Lepisosteus oculatus: one gene and its partners. The protein of the gene in region 1 binds, or shares a complex with, the protein of each later gene. Links are inferred from orthologs where the notes say so. Each region holds a gene or a part of one and is shown in the gene's direction. Other genes may lie near its edges.

Evidence for each region.
Region 2: mta3 (region 1) and cdk2ap2 share a complex: the UniProt entries of both Homo sapiens proteins name them as parts of the nucleosome remodeling and deacetylase (NuRD) repressor complex. The link is inferred for Lepisosteus oculatus from reciprocal best matches to the Homo sapiens genes MTA3 and CDK2AP2.
Region 3: mta3 (region 1) and cyclin-dependent kinase 2-associated protein 1 share a complex: the UniProt entries of both Homo sapiens proteins name them as parts of the nucleosome remodeling and deacetylase (NuRD) repressor complex. The link is inferred for Lepisosteus oculatus from reciprocal best matches to the Homo sapiens genes MTA3 and CDK2AP1.

What each region holds. Positions count from the first base shown.
Region 1 is NC_090712.1:14,766,364-14,773,732, reverse strand, and holds the start of mta3 (metastasis-associated protein MTA3), read left to right. Parts: upstream 1-4,307; 5' UTR 4,308-4,553; coding exon 4,554-4,581; intron 4,582-6,808; coding exon 6,809-6,876; intron 6,877-7,369. UniProt on the Homo sapiens protein: Acts as a component of the histone deacetylase NuRD complex which participates in the remodeling of chromatin.
Region 2 is NC_090701.1:43,944,156-43,951,469, forward strand, and holds the start of cdk2ap2 (cyclin-dependent kinase 2-associated protein 2), read left to right. Parts: upstream 1-4,229; 5' UTR 4,230-4,755; coding exon 4,756-4,810; intron 4,811-6,326; coding exon 6,327-6,427; intron 6,428-7,314. Other genes in the region: cabp4 (calcium-binding protein 4), read left to right, coding at 819-847. UniProt on the Homo sapiens protein: Acts as a component of the histone deacetylase NuRD complex which participates in the remodeling of chromatin.
Region 3 is NC_090717.1:7,570,749-7,577,898, reverse strand, and holds cyclin-dependent kinase 2-associated protein 1, read left to right. Parts: upstream 1-4,085; 5' UTR 4,086-4,203; coding exon 4,204-4,270; intron 4,271-5,306; coding exon 5,307-5,404; intron 5,405-5,598; coding exon 5,599-5,725; intron 5,726-6,383; coding exon 6,384-6,451; 3' UTR 6,452-7,033; downstream 7,034-7,150. Other genes in the region: sbno1 (protein strawberry notch homolog 1), read left to right, coding at 1-104, 441-583. UniProt on the Homo sapiens protein: Inhibitor of cyclin-dependent kinase CDK2. Also acts as a component of the histone deacetylase NuRD complex which participates in the remodeling of chromatin.

The sequences.
Region 1 (7,369 bases):
TATGCGTTTGGCAAAAGCGTGTCAAGGTAGGGGAAGAAAAGGAAAACGTGCCTTAGAAAATAAAAACCATAGATCTTACAATCACGGTGATTTTACAGACATTACAACCACAGGTTTATGTCATTGGTTAACTTGTTGCCATTATTTTAAGGAGACTATATGTTTATGGATATTGATTGTCTTTAAAATGTTAAGGGTACGAGCTAAACTGTAACAGCGCGCTTGAACTCGGCAGACGGGGTCACTGGAGGTCAAAGTCACCGTGCATGGTCACGTGATCAGCGGAAAAACAAGGTGCTTTATCTCGGGAACGAAAGCAGCACAAACGCTACTTTCAACGGTACCAACAGGCACAAACGTAGCACTAACGAATGAGGTGGGTTTCATCGTTTGTGCTGTCTGTAGTGGGACCAACGTCACGGAGCTTTTACCTTGCCTTTAAATATTCAGCGGACTTGAGCATAACATACCAGAAGAAGCTCGAGGTAAACCCTGCATGGTATTTTAAATACAATATTTCGGACGGATTTTGAATCTTGCGTTTTGCGTTGTGTTCATTGTGTGGTGCAACAAAATATTAACTTCAGAGTAACTCGTAAAACTATTGAACAATCTATAAGCGGGCATAAGAAATACTTAGAACTGTTATAAGCAACAAGTGAAAATGGGCTTGTTTGATCCTTCATGATGCTTTTAAACGTGTATGAAACCCATTAAATTAGTATTCTATTTTCGATGCCAAAAGACACCTAATTTGGAAATCCGTGACTTCCTAAAAGACTTGACACTGAATTGTTATAGTCGCATTACAGTGCTAACCAATTAGTCGTACCTTTAATTGCAAGAATGGTCTGCTAATAAAAGCGCACATACATACTTTGGATGTATTTTAGCTCTGTAAACACTAAGGGTATGCGCCCAGGCCCACCCGTGGCTACGCCCCTGCCTCACAGTAGTACTCAGTGGACATGACTGAACTCAGTAATGAATCCAATTCATAGATAGGGATTATTAGGAGGCCATTGTAGGTAAAGACCAGGGGGAAGTTTGGCACACCCCCTCTTTTCAAGAAACGTCCTGGACTTTTAAATGACCACAGAGAGTCAGGACCTCGGTTTTACATCTCATCTGAAGAACGGTGCCTTTTTTCCCCACAGTACAGTGTCCTCTTCACTATACTGGGGCATTAGGACCCAGGCCACAGGGTGAGCCCCCTGTACTGGCCCCACTAACACCTCTTCCAGCAGTAACCTTATCTTTCCCAGGAGGTCTCCCATCCAGGTATTGGCCAGGTTCACAACTGCTGAGCTTAAGTGAGTGGTCAGTTGTGGGTTGCAGGGTTATATAGCTATTTAACTTTTTGTGATTAGAGATGTATTATTTACTATTACTTATTATTATCTGGTGATTAGATTCAGTGTACAGTAGTATCACTAGGCTTACCAAGACAAGTGGATGAATTGGTGTGTACAGTATCACAGTGTGTGGTGGTTAGTGCTGCTGCTATACAGATCTTAAGTCCTGGGCTCAATTCCTGTGTGGCCATCCTTCTGTGTGGAGTTTGCATGTTCATCCTGTGTTTCTAGGGGTTTTCTTTAGTTTTTTGTTTTCAGATAGATTGTGGTTTTTGTTGTCTCTATGTGTGGGTTCTGTGATATATGATACATGCTGCAATAAATGTGTAACTACTCCAAACAGACTTATTTAATTCTTTGACACTTACACGTGGACCATATTCATTTTAAAGTAGATCTGGTCACTGTTTTCTATATTTCTACATTTTGTTCATGAAGGATGTATATTTTAATTTTGACTTTTCTAAGTTTTCTTTAAACAATAAATATTAGAAAGTGGCAAATGCAGTGCATTTTACTTTGTATATGTAAAATACAGAGCAGCTTTCAAGGTGATCAAAATAAACACTAGCATATTATTGCAAATTGCTGTGCTTATGAAATGGTAAATCACTGAACAATTAATTTTTCAAAAGTCCTCTCAATAAAAGATGAAAGCACTGAAGATAGCACGTTGAATGTTCTGCACTCAAACAGCACATGTTCTATTATTCAGAGGCCATGGGATTCAGTAATGTATTGAAATATTATTTGTTTGTTCACTTTGGCCGTTGTGAATAAAGTACTATACTGGCAAATTACAGAACCCTTGGTGCTACAACAGATTCTTTCAGTGGATTTTTCTTCCTATGAAAGCAAGAGGCCACTGATTTGATGGGTGTATTTCCACATGCTGGAGGTTCCAGATATGTAAGTCTAGGGATGGAGCTCCAACAGTGCAGGAATGGGTGCATACCTTTTAATGCCATTTAGGTATGACATCATGGGCCGATGGACAGGACCGTTCAAAACTAAACAGCTCAGAACACAGAATAAAAAGTAATCAGACCATAAAACATACAGTCTCCTGATATGTTAGAGAGCCTCGTGGATTTTAACATTCTTTCAAAGCCAAATGGTGAAGAACTCACACCTAGCAATCTCTTTAACATATTTAGATCGAATTTTATTAAAAAGAAAAAAAAACATAAGAAATAAGGTGCATTTGTAATATAAAACCTTAAGACTGTAAAGCCTTAAGCAAACCAATTGAATTTGTCAAGTATACTCTATTCTCTGTTTTGTTAGTCACCTGTCACCATTAAGTTGTCTACATGTACTGTCTTCACCATACCAGCTCCAGCTGAAGTCTTATTCACAGTGTTCATATGAAATCTTGTTGTAGTGTACTGTTCACTGATAGCTTGCATACACACCCAAATCACTGGATCAACACAATATCGTCTCGGCCAAAAGATTTAGCTGGCAGCTGCAACCTCCTAAATTAAAACATGATCTTAGATTTGTTAGACATAGAAGAAATTAAGTTTCCCTTGTAATTCTGTAAAGCAATGTTGTTTTCTAACTGAGAAACAGACAGGCAATAGCATAGGCAATGTCGCAGAACGTGCTGCCAATAGGACCCAAGCCATCCCCTTTCCAGCAAATCTGTTTGAGTGGTAATGGATCTGTGCATCTGATTGGGTTCTGCCAGCCTTTTAACAACAGGGCCACTCCAAGCTGTGATTAGAAGTGTTCCACCCTCATCTCTGCATATACAGTAGACGTTAATAGAAATATACAGCCATTGATTGTTATGACATCGAGAGGAACTAAAACTGCTGCCTAGCACCTCTTTGAATGCAGGAGAATCCCTTGGCAACATGTCTCCCACTGAGTCCATTGACATATCTCTGCTGCACTCCAGTCTAATTAAAGACATTGATTACGGATAGAACAATTACAGCCTGCTGATGTGATCTGAACAGGTTAATTAATGAACGGCCTTATTAGGGCTGTCATCGTGAAGCTTAGGCTGAATCCAGCTGTTTATCTTATTGCCTCCTCATTATTTCTGTGGTATTTTATTAGGCATGGGATTTTCAGTTTCCTTTCTCTGTTAATCTGAATTCAATAATTTTCACAAAAATCCAGGATTCTAGACACACCTTTATTAGGGTCATTAAATACACTCACATGGCAATGATACAGTTTAAAGAGTGCTACATAATCGTATGCACATGGGTGCGCAAAATGTCCTAACACCCCAACCGGGTTACAGGATAACTTTTGAGGTATGTCATGTTCTGCACAGACAGACAGCCGTGTATATGCAAACTGAGGGAACAGAATATTTTTAGTCTATAAACAGAGTTTAATGCAAGGGTACTTGGTTCAAGGATTCAAATTCCTGAAAGGGATTGACTAAGGCAACCCAACAGTCTTCTCCAGCAGTGTATAACAGAATGGCAAAAAGAGCAAGAGTATTTTAGATTTATTTACACAAAGGGCGGCAGGAGAGTGTAACAGGTGATCCAGCCATGTTGTTGATGCATAACCCCAGGTATGGTTCAGGAAACCGCAGGGTGAGATGGCACAAATTTAGCAGCAGAATACCCACAATGGACGGAAAGGCCTAATCTGGTTTGTAACCTACGTGTTTTTAATGCTTAAAAACTTTATTCCATAAAACATGGCACAGACACACAAGACAAAGCCCAAACAACGAGTGTATGTATGAATGGTGTGTGTGTGTTTTTAAACCCCTTCTACTCAGTTGCCTTCGGGTATTTCCGTGGAAGTAAGTACCCACAGTACGTGAAATAACCTCCGTCGTGAGGCACTTCATCAAGACTCCTGCCCAGCGCTGAACAACTGCGGCTTGTGAGTGGACGCAGCACCGGAGCTCCACTATGGCACCGCCTTCCGTCTGTGCCCTCCCCGCCAATCCCCCACATCCCTCCACCCCCACCAGGAAACAGGGCTCCGAGCTGATCTGAAGCCTTTCGGCGTGTTTGTTGCTGTATTGTACTGTATGCAGGGAGAGGGGGGGTTGTTTTAAATCTCTCTCCCGCTCAAGTCTCGTTCCACCCCCCCACCCCCCACCACGCCATTTCATTGCGGTATATTTATATATAGGTACTCTTTTATTTATTTTTATTTTATTTTGTAGTTTATGATTTTCCCTTTTTATTTTTTTCACGCTCCAGGAGGGCAGAAATGGCGGCCAACATGTACCGGGTCGGAGGTATGTCAGTCTAGATTTTTGATTTACAAAAGTGTTGGTATTTCTTTCAGCGTGACGGGGTGTGCATTAATAGATATTCGCAGAAGTACGGTTTTAATGTGCCTGTCAAAAAGCTGCGGGAAGCAGGTCTTTTGCGAGCCCGGTGCAGCAGGAATTTTCAATTATTTGGGATTAAAATCTGGGTCGGGCCTTAAAACTAACCATTAGAAACTGAAAGCAGCACTCCCAAAACAAACACCATCTGATACTTTTTCAATTTTTGATACATTTCCTACACGTGTAAACGTCTATTGTGATATAAGGTCTTGAGTGTTCAAAGAGTGAAGTTGAAAGTAAGTTTTACAGTTATATTCTGGATGTGCGTCCATTGTTTCTCGGGTGTTTCTTTGTATTTATGCCCTTGTCTTTGCAATGATCTCCATTGGTCCCTGTCCGTAAATCAGTCATTCACGGTTTATTATGCACGGTCACATCCAAAGACTTGCAATTCGGCAGTCGTATGGTCCCAGAGTGTGTTTTTCTGTCATTAATCTGGAAAAAGGTGGTTGTTCTTTTTAGTGTCTCCTATGTTATAATAATGTCTATCGGTTTTTGAAACTCCGGTTGCTAGGATAAAAAAAAACATTTTTCATAATGGCTGGAATTTTCTGCCCCCCCCCCCCACCACGCATTATTTTTTTCAAGGTAAATAAAATATATCGAAATTACTGAACGAAGCTAGTGCGATCAGACTGGTCTTGTGTGAAATTTTGTGCTTCAAAGTATGGGAATGTTCCAGTCACGTGACACCTAAAAATATTGGCATCTTTTACGACAATCTTTTCTTTGTCATCAGGTAACTGGAGAAGTTCGTCCTTAATACAATAAAAACTTTGCTTTCTGTTTTGAAATCGTCCCGGCTTCTTTTTATTATTATTTTTGAATGATCAGAATAAGAGTACTTTGTATTGAATTAAATTAGGCCTTACATAGGTAGGTGTCTGGCCTGGGTGTCTTAAAACGTGACGTAGCTGCCAGTAGTGTATATGCACTTTTATGTCAACACCTAATAAACAACCACATTACATATGTGCGTATTACTTATATATGGATATAGACCTGTATTCTGTTATTTAAAATTCACTTGAGCAAGTCATTCTGATGTTTTTTTGCCCTTCAATCCAGTTTGTTTTTATTGCATATAAAATATTTTAGAGATTTGTATCTGGTTTATACATTGTAAAGGTTTAATATAACCCATGGATTATTTTTTTTTAATTATTTAAGTTGTTGTGTGGAGATCTTTCAATTCTACTTCTTCCTAATTCTGCTGTCTTGGATCACTAGGGACGCTTTCCCATGAGCTCTGATGTTCTAAAAACACTGAGTCCAGAAGCTGATTTCAGGGTTAGGAAGTAGGAGCTCAGGAAAAACCTGCAAATACTTGCACCTGTCCATGGCAACTGGTCCTACTGCTCCTTAATTTCCTCTGAGACCAACTAACACTCTTAAACCTCTTAAGTATCTTAATGTTGCCTTTTCTGACATTGCCAGCAAACACTCCTTTCTAGACATTAAGGCTTTTATTTGTACATACGTGTTATATACATGCAGGTATATATATATAAATAAAAATACATGCACATAGCAAACTCAGCATTTAAGTCGATTTAACTCTTGTGTTGGGTGTTTATCATGTTATTCTTTAGCATGATCACCTAAAACAGCATAACTGTGGATATGTACCTAATTCAGTGGGATTCTGCATTTTGAGCGGCATTACTGGAGCTTTTTTGTGTATGAGAAAAATGCACCAGGGTTAATGTTGTTTAAAGTTATGCGATATGCCACTTTCTGTGTTACAAACACCTTTGCAACAGTAATGATATGCTTTTCACTGAGCATCGTCATAGGCATTATTTGTATAAGAATTATAATTTATTTCTATTTTCAGTTTTAAAAAAAAGATTTATCACATATGCTTCTGTGTTTGCTCTGCATTGATCTTCAGGCATCAAAGTGCAGGAGTCTCAAACTCTGTTCCTTGGGGGGGCTTTTGTCTTCTGGTTTTATTTAAGTACTCAATTAAAAAGTTAACCTCATTTTGCAAATTAGACATCCATTGCATTACTGTAAATCTGTAATTATTGTAAATCTAGGTTAAAGAAAAATAATTTGTTTACAAGTTAAATATTGACAATAAAAACATTTCTTTTGAAAAGCTCTAACCCTGTTTGTTTTGTTGCAGATTATGTGTTCTTTGAGAACTCTTCAAGCAACCCATATCTAATCAGAAGAATAGAAGAGTTGAACAAGGTATTTTGCAGTGTTTTTCTGGGCTGGAACCAAGAGCAGGGTGGGAGTGGATGTTTGTAAAACCCTTGAGGGGATGACCTTTAAGGAGCAAAAAGCTTACATTTCTTAAGGGAACTGGGTAAAATTGACAGACCAGTATTTGCTCATGGTCACTGATCTTATTTTTACCTACTTGTATACCGAGGTGGGCGGACTTTAATCGTTGTTAAGGATTTTGTGAAGGTTGATCTTTGCATGTAATTCATTTTGCCTTTGTGCTGAGGGATTATTCGATCTGACCATTTAAGTTGACTCCTGGGGAAAGTGTTGGCAATAAGGAAATCATGGAAAGTAATCTCTCTGTTGACTCTCAGTCCTGTGTGACTGACAGATGTCAGCAATATGTTGTTATTGCTTGTGTTTCTATAGGACTTTCCATGTCAAAAGATCCCAAAGTGCATTACATACAGAAGTGGACTCACTTTATCCCCCACTTAAGTGTAGCACCATCAGT
Region 2 (7,314 bases), on another chromosome or scaffold:
GACTCTGATCAGAGAGAGGAAACAGGGACTAAGAACACTGACCGCTAAATGCAAGCTTACAATTCAATACAGCCCCCGACTCCTGCTGCCCCACAGCCACTCTTGCCACTTGGTGACACAAGCCCAGCCCAAGTAGGGGCACAGAGCCCTGGGTTGTTATCAGAGTCCTGAAATCACCCCCTTGCACGACGATCAGACAAGAGGACACAGCCCTCAGAGCTGTGCCGGAGGTTGCAGCTGCCTAGAAATCGATGCACATTGTTTTGCGTTTTCACTTCGGATGAGTATTGATTTCTTTGACGACGCAGCCTGTGTGTTCAGCACTGAGCACAGCTGTGGTGCCGGGTCTGTGCAGGGGGAGCCTGGCTCCAGAATGCACTCCCATGCTGACACAGAGCTCAGAGGGGCAGGGCAGCAGACACACCTGCTCTTTCTTCCGTGCAATGCGAGTCCTGTATTTCCCCCTGGAGCTTCTCCAGCCCGGTGCTGATCATGTAGAAGGCAAGGTCGGTGCCACTTTGTCCCCGGTGTTGCCATGACAGCAGCATATAGAACGATGGGGTGTTTTGGTGTTCCCTCTGTGTGGCAGAGACAGGGGGTGTTTGAAAGGTGACAAGGGTTGCAGGGACACACGCAGGCGGAGACTCTGAGTCTCTGAGATTCATAGAGACACGCAGATACACTCACAGGTAAAGACACACACAGACTCTAATAGAGCCTCAGAGGGTCACACAAGCCCACAGAGATAGATTCACAGAGACTCCCAGCGATCAGAGACGGTTCCGCTAACTTTGTCCCCCGTCTCCCGCCTTCCACAGAATTTGTCATGATGCTGTCGTCGCGGTGATGGAGCCTCGGGATTGGATCCCTGGAGTCCGTGCAGGTCACTCCTCCCCAGAGAGAGTCAGTCCCCTTCCCCTCTCCCACAGCTCGGAAGTCCCGCTCACTGCCTGGGTCCCGATGTCACCATGACTCTTCATTTCCTGTCGCCCAGATCTCCCCAGTGTCCTGCTCCCCCACCTGTCTGAAGGAATGAGCTGCTGTTCTGTGGGTGATCTGATGTCTCATGCTGCTCTCCCTGACAGGAACGTTGTGATCTCTCCATGGAGAGGTCCCTGTCCACTGTTTCGTAGTAATGAAAAGCTGCCCTGTAGCGATCCGATGTCTGGTCCTTCTCTCCAACAGGAACAGTGAGATCTCTCCTTAGAAACTCTGGGTTTACACTATGTCCACAGTTTTCTAGTAATGAGCTGCTGCCCTGTGGTGATCCGATGTCTGGTCATGCTCTCCAAGGGGAACAGTGAGATCTCTCCACAGAGCCTTGGCGCCTTTGTCCACTGTTTCCCAACAATGAGCTGCTGCCCTATGGTGATCTGATTAACCATTCCTGCTCTCCCACAGGAACAATGTGATCTCTTCACAGAAACTTGGGTCTTTGTCCACAGTTTCCCGGTAATGAGCTGCTGCCCTGTGGCGATCTGATGCCTGGTCATGCTCTCCCACAGGAACCGTGAGATCTCTCCTTAGAAACCCTGGGATTATACTATGTCCACAGTTTTCTGGGCTGCTGCCCTGTGGTGATCTGATGTCTGGTCATGCTTTCAAACAGGAACAGTGTGATCCGTCTGCTGAGCTTCGTCATCTCTGTATTTGTTTCATATTAGATGCCTGTTTACCGGTAAGGGCTGTGTTAGAGGCAGGATGGCCTGCTCTGTTTTAAAGTCAGATCCTTTTATTACTGAGGATGAGAGAGTTGAAGACAGTAATTGTTATTGTATATCTGTGAATCTGTACAATGCCTCAGAAATGTACGTACAATGCATAATGATTTTTGTGAGTGTGTACTACAATAATAAATTAGATATTTGTCAGTCTCTTTTAGAAAATGTGTCTAACACAATCTATGACAACAAACCCATGGTATAACAACAATCGTGAGTGGCAGAAGACAGAACATGAGGTTATACACACAGGGACATATGTTACCTATTTGATCAAATAAACATTTAAACATTGTTGTGTAGGAAGGAAGAAGCACTGCATGTTTCCGCTAAACGATTCAGCAAAGTGAAAACACATCATTAGAATCTGATGTTCATGAGCCTATCTTGCAGCTGCTGTTTGAGACAGCACCATAGAGCAAACTGAAAAAATTTAGTATGAAGGTAAGAGTTCTCTTGAGACTGTGCGAAGCACCTTAACAAAACAGTCTGACATTTATGATGTTCAACTGACATGCTTTGACAATTGTTTTACACAGGAAACTGTATTCCACACCAGCCTCTTCACTATTGAGAGCTCATACTAACACCTGTATTAACATTGGAACATAAGAATATTTACATATGACAGGCCGTGTGACAGCTGGAGGAACTAAACCTCGTTAGTGTGAAGGGAGTGTCCCACACTGACAGGCTGAAGGAACTGAATTTCTAAAGTGTTGAACATAGAAGACTATGATCATTCCTGAAAGGCATCAACAAAATCAATCCAGCAGATTTCTTGAGAATGACCAGTGAAACATGAACTAGAACTACTTTGCTTTAAAAGTGCAAATAATGTTTTAGCATATCACCAGTACATCAGTTGGATACACGTTATAAACAAAACAAGATGACCTCTGCACTGTCTGGCAGGACATTAAACCAAAGGGCCTAAGTGAATATCTATGAGGGGCACAAATCCATCCAGGTGGATGGAATTAGCAAAGAGACCTGTGAAATGTGTTTTTTACTGTTTTTGAAAAGTATTATTTCTTCTCCCAACTTAATGATCGGTAGCTTACTCCAGGAACTGCAAATACCAACTTGTGTGGTCGCGAACTCTGGTAGAAAGATGCCAGTCAACACAGCAGCAGGTCCAGGTGGAACCTGTGGCTGAACACTAAAGTATTGTCTGAAGAGCTGAGGGGAGAGAGTCAGCAGCTGTTCCAGCTCTCTGTAGACACTGGCACCGGCCCTGCTGTTTGGACACACGCCACAGCTCTACCTGCTCCCAAGAAGAACAGACTAAAAGCTCTCAATGCCTTGAGGCCGATAGCTCTGGCTCCATTAGTGATGCAGACTCTTCATTAATAGATACTGTGTGGCTGCTGTTGTTGAGTCATCTTATTCCTCCCAGCTGAAATCGTGTCTGAAATCGTCGCGGGCAGGGTTAGTAGCAGTCAAAGTTGCCGTATGTGGTCATGTGATCACCCCCAAATCAAGGCGCTATATCTCAGGAAGGAAAGCAGCTGGGAAGTCACTTTCAACGGCACAAACCGGCACAAACGCAGCACTAACTGAGCAAGACCGGTCCGGTTCTCCTGCGCCGTTTTGGGGCTGAGTGACGTCACACCCCTAAATAAGAAGGCGCTATATCGCGGAAACAAAAACGGCACAAACTCAGCACTAACGCACGAGGAGGGTTTCGTGGTTTGTGATGTTTGTGGGGGTGGCAGCTACACGGAACTTTACACCAGCACTGCTTTCTGCTGAAATTGCCGCTTGAGGATGAGTAAACTGAATGACACCCTCTCATTCATAAACATATGTATAGCGTGTAAACGTATAAATGTATGTTCCTGCGCTGTATTTAATCTGTATCATCTATAAGGGCGGTGCGGTGGCTCTGTGGCTGAGGATCTGTGGCTGGAAGGTTGCCGGTTCGAATCCCACAGTTGGCAGAGGAATCCTACTTTGTTGGGCCCCTGAGCAAGGCCCTTCACCCCAACTGCTCCTGGGGTGCTGTATAAATGGCTGACCCTGTGCTCTGACCCCCAGCTTCTCTCCCTGTCTGTGTGTCTCATGGAGAGCAAGTTGGGGTCTGTGAAAGGTCAAAGTCCTAATAAAATAAATTGTATATGGCCTATAAAATGATCTTATCTTATCTATATAAAACTTTTTAAAGTATATATTTTATGGTTGTTCCCCTATTTTAAAAAAGAATGCTGTCTCTTTAAATGGTGCAGTTAAAGACCAGAGAGAACAAGCCTTCAGTAATGAAAGGTCGGGAGTTAAGAAATACCATTCCCATAGAGCTCTGCGACCCCATCTCGCGTTTATAAGAAAACCGCCGTGTACCTCGCGCTCATGGGAACTGTAGTTTTCCTTTGTTTGGCCCTGGCAGTGGACGGACTGCAGTGGCGATAGTGACGACGTGGGCGGAGCATGAGGGGTGGGAATATGTCAGCCAATCGCTGCTCTTGACTTGTGCGCGTCATCGTTTTTTCGCAGACGGACCACGCCTCCCCGGGAAGAGCCCGGTGCAGGGCACGACGGGACAGGAAGCGCTGGCAGGCCGGTGTGGACGGCTGGTTTCCCGACGATCGCTCTGCTCCGCTTTTTATTACTGCTTTATTTAATTTCATTCTGCAACAGAGCGGGGAGCTGCACAGCTATACAAATCCACAAACATACCACACAAGGGAAGCGCTCTGGAGTTTTGAAAGAAACGACTTTAAAAAAAAAACCCAAAACAAAATCGAAAAGCTCAGGTTCTCTTCCTTCTTTTTCTCCGAAACACAACTCGGCGGCGCTTCCCGGTTTGAAATCAGCTTTAAAAAGCCGAGATCCGCCATTGATCCGCCTCTGTCCGCATAAAGCGCGTTCCCTCCCGGTCGGGATTAAACTCCGCTCCTGAGCCCAGACTTCTGCTCTCCTCTGCTCCGTTTCCGTGCCCTCCGCGCCCGAGTCCCCCGTGGGAGGTCGGCGTGTTTCGCCTGTGGACAGACAGCGAAGACCGGCGGAAGTCCGAGCGGCGCAGCGACCTGACGCTATGAGCTACAAGCCCATCGCCCCGGCTCCCTCCGGCACCAACCACACTCCCCCCGGTGAGAGAGACGCGCTGCCAGTGTGATTGCGTGTAAGAGTGAGAAACGGGGCACAGGCTGCCCTCTCGGGGACCACACGCCCGCCTCCAGGTTCTTCTGAGAGTCGGGGTGAGACTCTGCACGCCAGACCCCACTTACCCTCAGCCCCGCACTGCTGTGTTCGTGCCCCTCAACAGCTGTTTGGGTTAAACCGACAACGATGCGTTCGGTATTTATTGCCCATTCCCAAGCGATACGTGATCTCCTTCTGTCCGGAAGCGTGCTGGGGTGTCCAGTCACTAGAATCTCGTTTCCCCTCAGAGCCAGACCCGGCGGGTGAGCTAGCCTGCTTTCCTGGTGCAGTCGCCTGAAGAAAGCTGGACCGTGGTCCTTTCCTCGCACAAGAACCCGTAACACTGGTGCTGTTGTATATGTCCACCTCTTCTCCACTGATCGCACAACTACACATAATCATCTCTCAGGGTCCGAGCAAAATCCCTGCCTGCGTACCTTTCTGGCTCACCTGGAATCTGACAAAACTTCACTCTGTTACTCAAACTGAGCTGACTATATCTGAACATGGGGTACTGGCGCGTCTGTATTCCTCTCTCAGTGTGTCTGTACTGTATTAACCCCTCTCTCTCAGTGCAGTGTTAATGTACTGGAGTGTCCAGTCAGTGTGTCTGGACTGTATGAACCCCTCTCTCTCAGTGCAGTGTTAATGTCCTGTAGTGTCCAGTCAGTGTGTCTGGACTGTATTAACCCCTCTCTCTCAGTGCAGTGTTAATGTCCTGGAGTGTCCAGTCAGTGTGTCTGGACTGTATTAACCCCTCTCTCTCAGTGCAGTGTTAATGTACTGGAGTGTCCAGTCAGTGTGTCTGGACTGTATTAACCCCTCTCTCTCAGTGCAGTGTTAATGTCCTGGAGTGTCCAGTCAGTGTGTCTGGACTGTATTAACCCCTCTCTCTCAGTGCAGTGTTAATGGACTGGAGTGTCCAGTCAGTGTGTCTGTGCTGTATTAACCCCTCTCTCTCAGTGCAGTGTTAATGTCCTGGAGTGTCCAGTCAGTGTGTCTGTGCTGTATTAACCCCTCTCTCTCAGTGCAGTGTTAATGTCCTGTAGTGTCCAGTCAGTGTGTCTGGACTGTATTAACCCCTCTCTCTCAGTGCAGTGTTAATGTCCTGTAGTGTCCAGTCAGTGTGTCTGTACTGTATTAACCCCTCTCTCCCAGTGCAGTGTTAATGTACTGGAGTGTCCAGTCAGTGTGTCTGTACTGTATTAACCCCTCTCTCTCAGTGCAGTGTTAATGTCCTGGAGTGTCCAGTCAGTGTGTCTGGACTGTATTAACCCCTCTCTCTCTGTGCAGTGTTAATGTACTGGAGTGTCCAGTCAGTGTGTCTGTACTGTATTAACCCCTCTCTCTCAGTGCAGTGTTAATGTCCTGTAGTGTCCAGTCAGTGTGTCTGTACTGTATTAACCCCTCTCTCTCAGTGCAGTGTTAATGGACTGTATTAATCTCCCACTTTATTTCTCTCAGGTTCCAGTGTTTCCTCTCCATCCTCCTCTCTTCCTGGTTCCTCCTCCAATTACAGGCCTCTCTTCAATGACTTCGGTCCCCCATCCATGGGCTACGTGCAGGTACGGTCCTGAAACACAGGACACCTTGTGATTCTCACTCAGCTGTAACAGATACTCCATGTCAAGGATGGGCCCTAACCTAGTCCTAATCCTCCGTGGTCTGTGTGCTGAACACACACAGGTCCTGGCCTGAACACACACTGCAGTAAGGATGGGTGGAAGTGTTTGAAATTTAGGTACAAATCTACAGTGGCAGACCAAGTCACGGTTCTTGGTTTCAGAAACAACAAACTGTGAAGGAACTGAATGTTTCTGGGGATCCGCAGCTCACTTGCCTGTTCACAAAGAGAGAGTTAAAGGACTCGGATGTGATTAGTATTTCCTATGTTTTTGGTTTGGAAATTACATTTTTTTAACATCCAAATAAGCATTGTTTTGGATTTCTTTATTCATAGGCCTCTGACATAGTGAGCGATTTACAAAACAACAATTTGTAAATTTTTGTAGCCTCTCCAGCAGCAGTGGAGCAGCAGCAGTCTCAGTGAAGCAGTGAGTGACGTCACGCAGGTCTGTGTCTAGTTGACTAGTTACGAGGTAGACTACTGGGGAAAGGTTATGCGTTTACTGAAGGCTTTATAAAGGAAAATGTAGGTCTCTCTTTATCTGATGACTAGGTTAGTGTGCTCTGGGTTCCTGGGGAGTCCAGTGACATTATAACTCTGAGTTGTGCTGACCTGAACCCTGGTTTCACAGTTAATCCAGAAGTATTATAACAGGGCACAGCAAGATATGAGGTCCCCCTGATGGAAGGATATGAGGGGTCACTAGGATCCTTTGGTGGGCAGGTTAGGGTACAGAGATAGGGTCCCCACTAATGAAAGGAGATGAGGGGTCTCTAGACACTCAGGTTAGGGTCCCTTCTGACTGGAAAACCTGAAGTGATGAGA
Region 3 (7,150 bases), on another chromosome or scaffold:
CAGTGTTTGGACTAAAGTAGAGGGCGTTTTAGCGTCGGTCAGTGGAACCAATGTGAAAATGCAAATCGTTCGTTTAAGAACTGAGGATGGACAAAGAATCGTTGGTAAGTGATGATAAAGTTCCCTCATCCCCACCCCCATGCAAGTCATCAGGAGGCCCCTGTTTACAAGCTTTAGCCCAGTGCTGTTATTTCATTTTGTTTTTATTATCTGTAAGTAGCATACAGCTGTTTATTATAACTAAAAGTTCATATGTTTTGGGCTTATTTAAATTTGGTTCAGGGTTTGCCTACCTAATTAACAAATGTGATTAGTAGTTAGGGTACGATTGGGTAGTTTGCTTTAAGGAAATAATACTATTAGTCTCTTAAGCGTCGGTGCTTCCTTCTACTGTAAAACTATCCAAGACCAATAATTTTTTTAATGTTTGTCATTGACAGGTTTGATCATTCCAGCAAACTGCGTAGCCCCGCTGATAAACATCCTGTCCTCGTCAGACCAGTCTCAACAACTTGCTGTCCAGCAGCAACAAATGTGGCAACAGCTTCACCCACAGAGCATTAACGCCTTCAGTAACACATAGCACCCAGCGTGGACTGGACAGTGGACTTAATGTGTTACATTTAAGAACATGCTCTGTGAGCACATTGTGAGGCAGTCAGAAGGAAACATTCAGGGTTCTTGTCCAAAGAATTTTCTTTCATTAGAAGTTCACTGGAACATTCAACACCTCGCACTTCAGTTCAGAACTGAAGAGACCTCTGTGAATTTCTGGAGGAGAAATGTTGAAACAGATAAAATATTTCTTCCTCTTTTTTTCATAACGTTTCATGTGCTTTCTACTGGCTTCTGGTCATAATTACAGGTTTGTTCTGTATCTTCTGCAAGTGGAGTGCTTGAACTTTATGACATATTACAGTGCTCAGGGGTTAGTTAAAGAAAACAATCACTTTTTTTAACTCTGATATGCTGAGAATATATATTGAAATGCATGTCACCTCCCCCTCATGTTCCTTAATGTGTTGATGCATACATTGTACAAAGCATGGAATTGCAAGTTTACTACACTGCATACAAATGTTTCCTGTTCCTTTCATTTAGTGTACCTTATATTCATGCTTATGAAAATGGTTCTCAAGGTGTAAATTCCTTTTAAGACCATGTTCACCACAGGGTTCAACATGCTAAAATTGTGACCTTGCATGATTTTAAAAAAATATCATCCCTGTTTTCCCTTTGTGGTTCACTTTAGAATAAACATTTCTTTAATCATAGCTAATTTAAACAAAAACATTGGACTTGCAGAATGGCTAGTCATTGATCTTCAATAGTATGTTCATGAAGGTATATACTACCTTTTGTTCTTAAAATCCCCAAGATATCAGTCTGTAAACTGGAATGTCATTTACATTAAGGCCACTTCAACCTTGTCTGGTCTTGATTTATATTTTTTAATTTTCTATTTACACATTTTAATATTTGCTGTCTCTTGAAACAGATCTGATGCATTTAATTTCAGGACGGGACACAAGACTCTTTATAAAAGCTTTTCATTTGTGCTGTAAATGTTATAAGATCGAAAATGTTTCTCTTAAACTGGTATGGATATTTTGCTGTACAAATGTGTATAGTTACATATCTTAAATATGAATTGTTTGGCTTATAAGTAAAATTGATGTTTATAAGATATTGAAGGACAATGTCATTTCATGCTTGCACGAGTTGCACTACTGACAGATTTCATTGTATATTGAAATTAAATCTGTTTAAATTACATTGCTGCAAGATTAGGACATCTTGCATATGACCAATAAATCTAGAAAAACTTTGTGAGTTGTGGCTTGTGTCTAAGAGAATTATAGGAAAAAACTTTTTTGCTTCTTGAAAGTGTTTCAATTTGAAACATTCATTTTATACTTGGTTCTGTGCTTCAGATTAATTTTCCTCATGATGGTTTTCAATGGACATGACCAGAATGTTTTAGAGCAAGCTTGATTTTTTTTAAAGAACATTTTGTACCTCATACAAATGGCATGATTAGTCAAGTGTTTTTTAGAGCAATTTGCTGAATGAGGCAGGTTAGTTTTTTTTATTTTTGTTTCTACTCTTTATTTCTAAAAAGGTATAATGTTTTCTTCTGTACTTCAATGGAGGGCTCAGGTTCAGCAACTTCTGACTGCAAGCAAATGGGTTATTTTTAATTTGTCTGCTGAGAACTAAGAAAATAATCAAAGACTATAGGAAGATGAGATGCAGTTTGCTGCATGCTGATTACCTGATGAGATTAATCAATGAAAGCTACACATTCTTTTTCCAGGCTTGATTGTGATTGATTATGGAATCTGATTGTTTCTATTGCATAATGTATATGACCACATAAGGATTAAATTGTAATTATATTTTGTTGGAGAAGGATCTACAGCATATTGCTCAGGACTATTGGTTGGGGATCTCTTCCACTAGGAATCACCTCATGGAGTGTTTTTCAAGAGCCAAAAGCCAAACCTTCTTGGTTTGGGATTTCTGTTGCACAGAGATTTAAACACTTTTTGCTTTAGTCCTACTGCAAAATCCTGTTTTATGTAAAAAAGTAAATGGATCTACATTTGAGTTCAGTTATACTTTATGCAGTTTACACAAAAATAATAATCTTAAGGTCTATGTACCAAATAAATTTTATTTTTATCAAGTTTTAGATTCCTTGGTAAAACCTGGTATTTGCCTGATAATCCTAACTATAATGTGCTCTCATTGTTCCATACCAGGCCATTCCTAAAATTAACACTTGAATGTACATTATATTTGACTCTATAGTTGACTATTTCTCCTGTTGCTTCACACAGTCAATGGGTTATTTTCAGCTGATGGCCATCCTATTGTGCATGACAATAGCAAATCGTGGCCGTGTATAAACCAGGCTTGTGGACAGGCTCCGGCAGTTTGGGTGGTGAAGAGAGAATGCTTTTGTAAAAAATCTGGCCAGGAGGCTGTTTAATTTTGAAGATGAGCCCACAATCCCCCCATTCTCACACCCCCCAGTTAGGTGCGGAGCACGGAAAACGGTGGAACATGCGTCTCGACAATAGGCAGACAAAGTACAGTGCTAGGCATTCACGAACTCGCGCCATACGTCACTCCTGCTACCCATGGAAAAAATTAGCATTCACTTCGCTCATGTCGTGGGGTGCGAAACGTGGGCGGGGGAGGGGAGCGTGTTACACGATAGGAAGAGGTTAAGAATGGCACGCGTCCCCATTGTCAGACTTAGAAGTTCCTATGGCTGCCTCGTGCTTTTTAGATTTTTATATGCATCTTATATAAACTCATACATTGTATGAGCTAAGTAAACCGCTTATTTTCTAAACGTATTGGGTACGTTAAGCAAAATATGCGGGAAAATAGACCACCTTGTTGTTTTTAACTACCGCTTCCAGACAAACATTTAATCATTTTTGTCTGGAAAAGGAAATTATTGTAATTATCGCAACCCTTTCCTACCATGCATTCTCGATCTAGGTGGTAAAATATTACGACTAAAGTATTTACAGTATGTTCTCTAAATCTATGTGAGGCGGCGGGAACGCATTTTTCTTCCTTGCTTTAAAAGTAATTGCAATTATTAAAATATCAAAAAGTTATTGTTGCACGTTGATGAATAAAAAAAAAACACCTCGTCCCCTTAGTTTTTTAAATTAAAAATACATCTAAAAAAATACGATGGGGTTCTTCCTAAAACCTGTGATTGAATTTTTTTTTTAGAAAGTTTAAAACTTTAATTTGAAGTATAGCTGACGAAGATAACCCATCCGTTATCGTAAGAGTTGCTACGAGCCCGATTAAAGCAAAAATAAAAGTTTCAAAGTTTGACGTGGTCAGTAACCTGATAAAAAAAAAGCCAGGGTTCGGCAAATAATGTTTTTTAAAAAGCGTTGTTTTAAAATAGATTACGACCTCAAAAATATGAAATCTCTTTTCAAAACCGAATTTTAATCGCCGCGGCGTTTCCATATGAGTTTTGGGTCTGACCTCCTCGCTTTTGGTCAAATTGCCATAAATTTCCCATTGTGATGATAGATTGCATTGTGGGTGTCAATATAAAGTGACGGCCATATTTGCCGGTGCGGCTGCTGTAAACAAAAAGTGTCTGAGAGAGACAGAGACGCTTCAGTGAATTTCAGGACATTTTTATTTCTTTAATTTATAATGTCTCTGGGAATGTCTTACAAACCCAACCTCCACCCGCACATTCCTGGGACTTCCGTGAACCAAGGTAAGGCTGAAATATCCGCGAATTCTCCACTGAATCACTGTTTTATTAGATGCAAAATCCGCTGTTATAATGAATACCTGGGGAAAGCCCGTGTCTGTAGTTTTTGTCCAGTTATATATATAGGGTCAGATCCTGAGAGCTGATTCATATCCGCCATTATTACTAATCATAAAAGCTTTTTTTTTTCCGCATCCGCAAAGTAGAGAAACGGAGGTTAACTCTTCGCTGGGGACCGGGTTTGCGGTAGCCGATACCCGCTTTTGTTCGCACGGATGCTGGAAGAGTGTTATAAAAAATGTATCACTTTGGCTTCTTAAATCAGCCCGTTCGGTATCCTCCATGATTGTCTCCCCAGGGCCGATGATTGATCTGGATCAGGAATGTTCTTTTTTTACGCTCTGGGGACACCTAGCGTTCAAAATGGCTTACTGCACGGAAGGCTTACATGAATTGAATGCCTGTAGTGTAGGTGACCGAGAGAGACTCAATTGCCTAAAAAAAAATCACCTCTGAAATACGGAATACCAGCCGAAACGTTGTGTTTCATTTCTTCTCTTTTCAGCACGGAATAAACCTGACGCAGCTACCTACTCGCACCTCTGAAATGTGTTTTTCTAAATTCTAAATAATAATGATAAGTGTCCAAAATTCTCAGAAGCTACGCCAGTACGCACATACAATTGTTTCTGAATTGTATGTGCCACCAATTACCCCGCGGTGCGACGCAGCAAATATACAGAGGCTATCTCACTTTAAAATATAATTAAGAGATTACATATAATTTGAATTCTAATGAAGTCTTACGAGTAGCATTGACAATTGAAACTGTCACGATTTTGCCTTGCGAAATGTAACACAGTACAGTTTAGAGCGTTCACATCTGCAAGCAGCAGCGAATGTAAATCAAGTACAACACAACGTGCCCTGGCTGGAGTTGTTCTTCTGTGTTTCGGGGGGTGGGTCTGGGGTGTGTGGAGGAGCTTCAGAAATGAGAAACGATTCCTTTTGACCTCATTGTCCGTCTCTTTTCCTCCAGTCGGGAATGTCCACTCTCCTTCCACGAGCTTAGCCACACTGCAGTCTTACCGGCCACTGGTGAATGACTACGGGCTGCCATCCTTGGGATTTTCACAGGTAATTTTAGCTCGATCAAACCACCTGGTGGTTAGTCTAACTGAGGCGGAGGTCGTGCCAAGAGAGGCTGGTGAGCAATTCCGTTCGCTCTCCGTGGGCACAGATGTTGCCAGTCCCTTGCAGATGCCCTCTGTGTGGTCAGTGAATTGCCCTTTCTAAGAGGACTCAGCCCAGGAACTGTTCTCCTCTTGCAGGGGACCAGCGGAAATCAAGTGCCTCAAAGTAAATATGCAGAACTCCTAGCCATCATCGAAGAGCTGGGCAAAGAAATCAGACCGACGTATGCTGGGAGTAAAAGTGCCATGGAGAGACTAAAACGAGGTAATTAGTTTTGTTTAAGTGAGTCATTGAATCTATTATACCTTAATCAGCCAACTACATCACAGTGTACTTTGGCTCCGTTTTCAGCAGGTTTTAATCCCGATACAAAACAGCATTCATCTTCCGGGATGCATCTTACTGTGTAAATATAAACAGGTGATCTGTAGTCGCATGCAAACTTCTGACTACTGCAGCCACTACACAAAGTGGAGATGGAGAGAACCACCCAAGGCTCAAGTCCAATATTTTCCCAGGCTCTTAAAACATAAGAGTGGATACAAGCGAGGGGAGGCCGTTCAGAAGATGTTGCCTGTTTTGATAGTTAGTAGGTAATTGTTCCAGCTCATCCAGCTTGTTCCATACCCCCACCAACCTTTTTGTAAAGTTTAAAACTCATTTTCACTTAGTTTGCCCTTGTGTCCTCTGGTTCACGTTGCAGTTCTCCAGTTCTCTCTGAAAAAGTCTGCTGGGGTGGACTGTGGCAGTGTCCTCAAGCATTTCATATGCTTTCTTACGGGGTCCCCTAGTCGCCCTCTCTGTTCAAGGCTAGAGAGATTCAGTCCCTCGGCCTGTCGGTGGTGTACAGTATAGTGACATGATGGCAGGGGCCCTTGAGCGAGCGAGAATGATGACGTGTTGTTTTTCTTTCTTTTCCAAGGGATCATTCACGCTAGAGGACTGGTACGCGAGTGCTTGGCGGAAACGGAGAGAAACGCCAGGTCCTAACCACGGGAACAATGCTTTCACACAGAAACCCTGAACAGCATCTCGCAACCCTGCCTTCTAATCATTCTCTTTTCAGGAAAGCCAGATAGCTTTCCAGGAAAGCCAGATAGCTTTCCAAATAATAATAATAATAAAAAACTTTTGACGTCTGGCCTGAAGAATGCAGAAACGAAAGCTAAAAGACCAGTATATAAAACTATACTTGACATGAACCTCTTCAAGGGTTCTTTATTCTTTTTTTTTCCATAGGGGGATTTCTGATTCTTTCTTGACTGCTTATATATAAAAAAAAATAAAAAAAATAAATAAAAATCTGATGACTTTGCATGCATGGTAGCAAGTGCTCCCAATTAAAATTTAAAACTGCATGGCTTGTACAGATTTAGACTGTAGCAAGGGACATTTTAAGATGGAATAGGGCCTAAGATTCAATATTTTTAACACACTAATACTTAGGAGACTGAGAAAAGGATAGTGCCAAATACACCACACACCGGATTTGGATAAACTATTGTAATAAAGCCATTATTTGCATCTTTGTATGTATTTATTACTCAGTGTAATAAAACTTATTTTCATTAAGACCTGCTGTGTTGAGAGATTCATTTCTGTAGGGTACCATTGCACAACTGCAATTCTGTATCTAAACAGACATAAGATATCATTCAGCTGAGGAAACCTTCATGGTCAGAAGGTGGT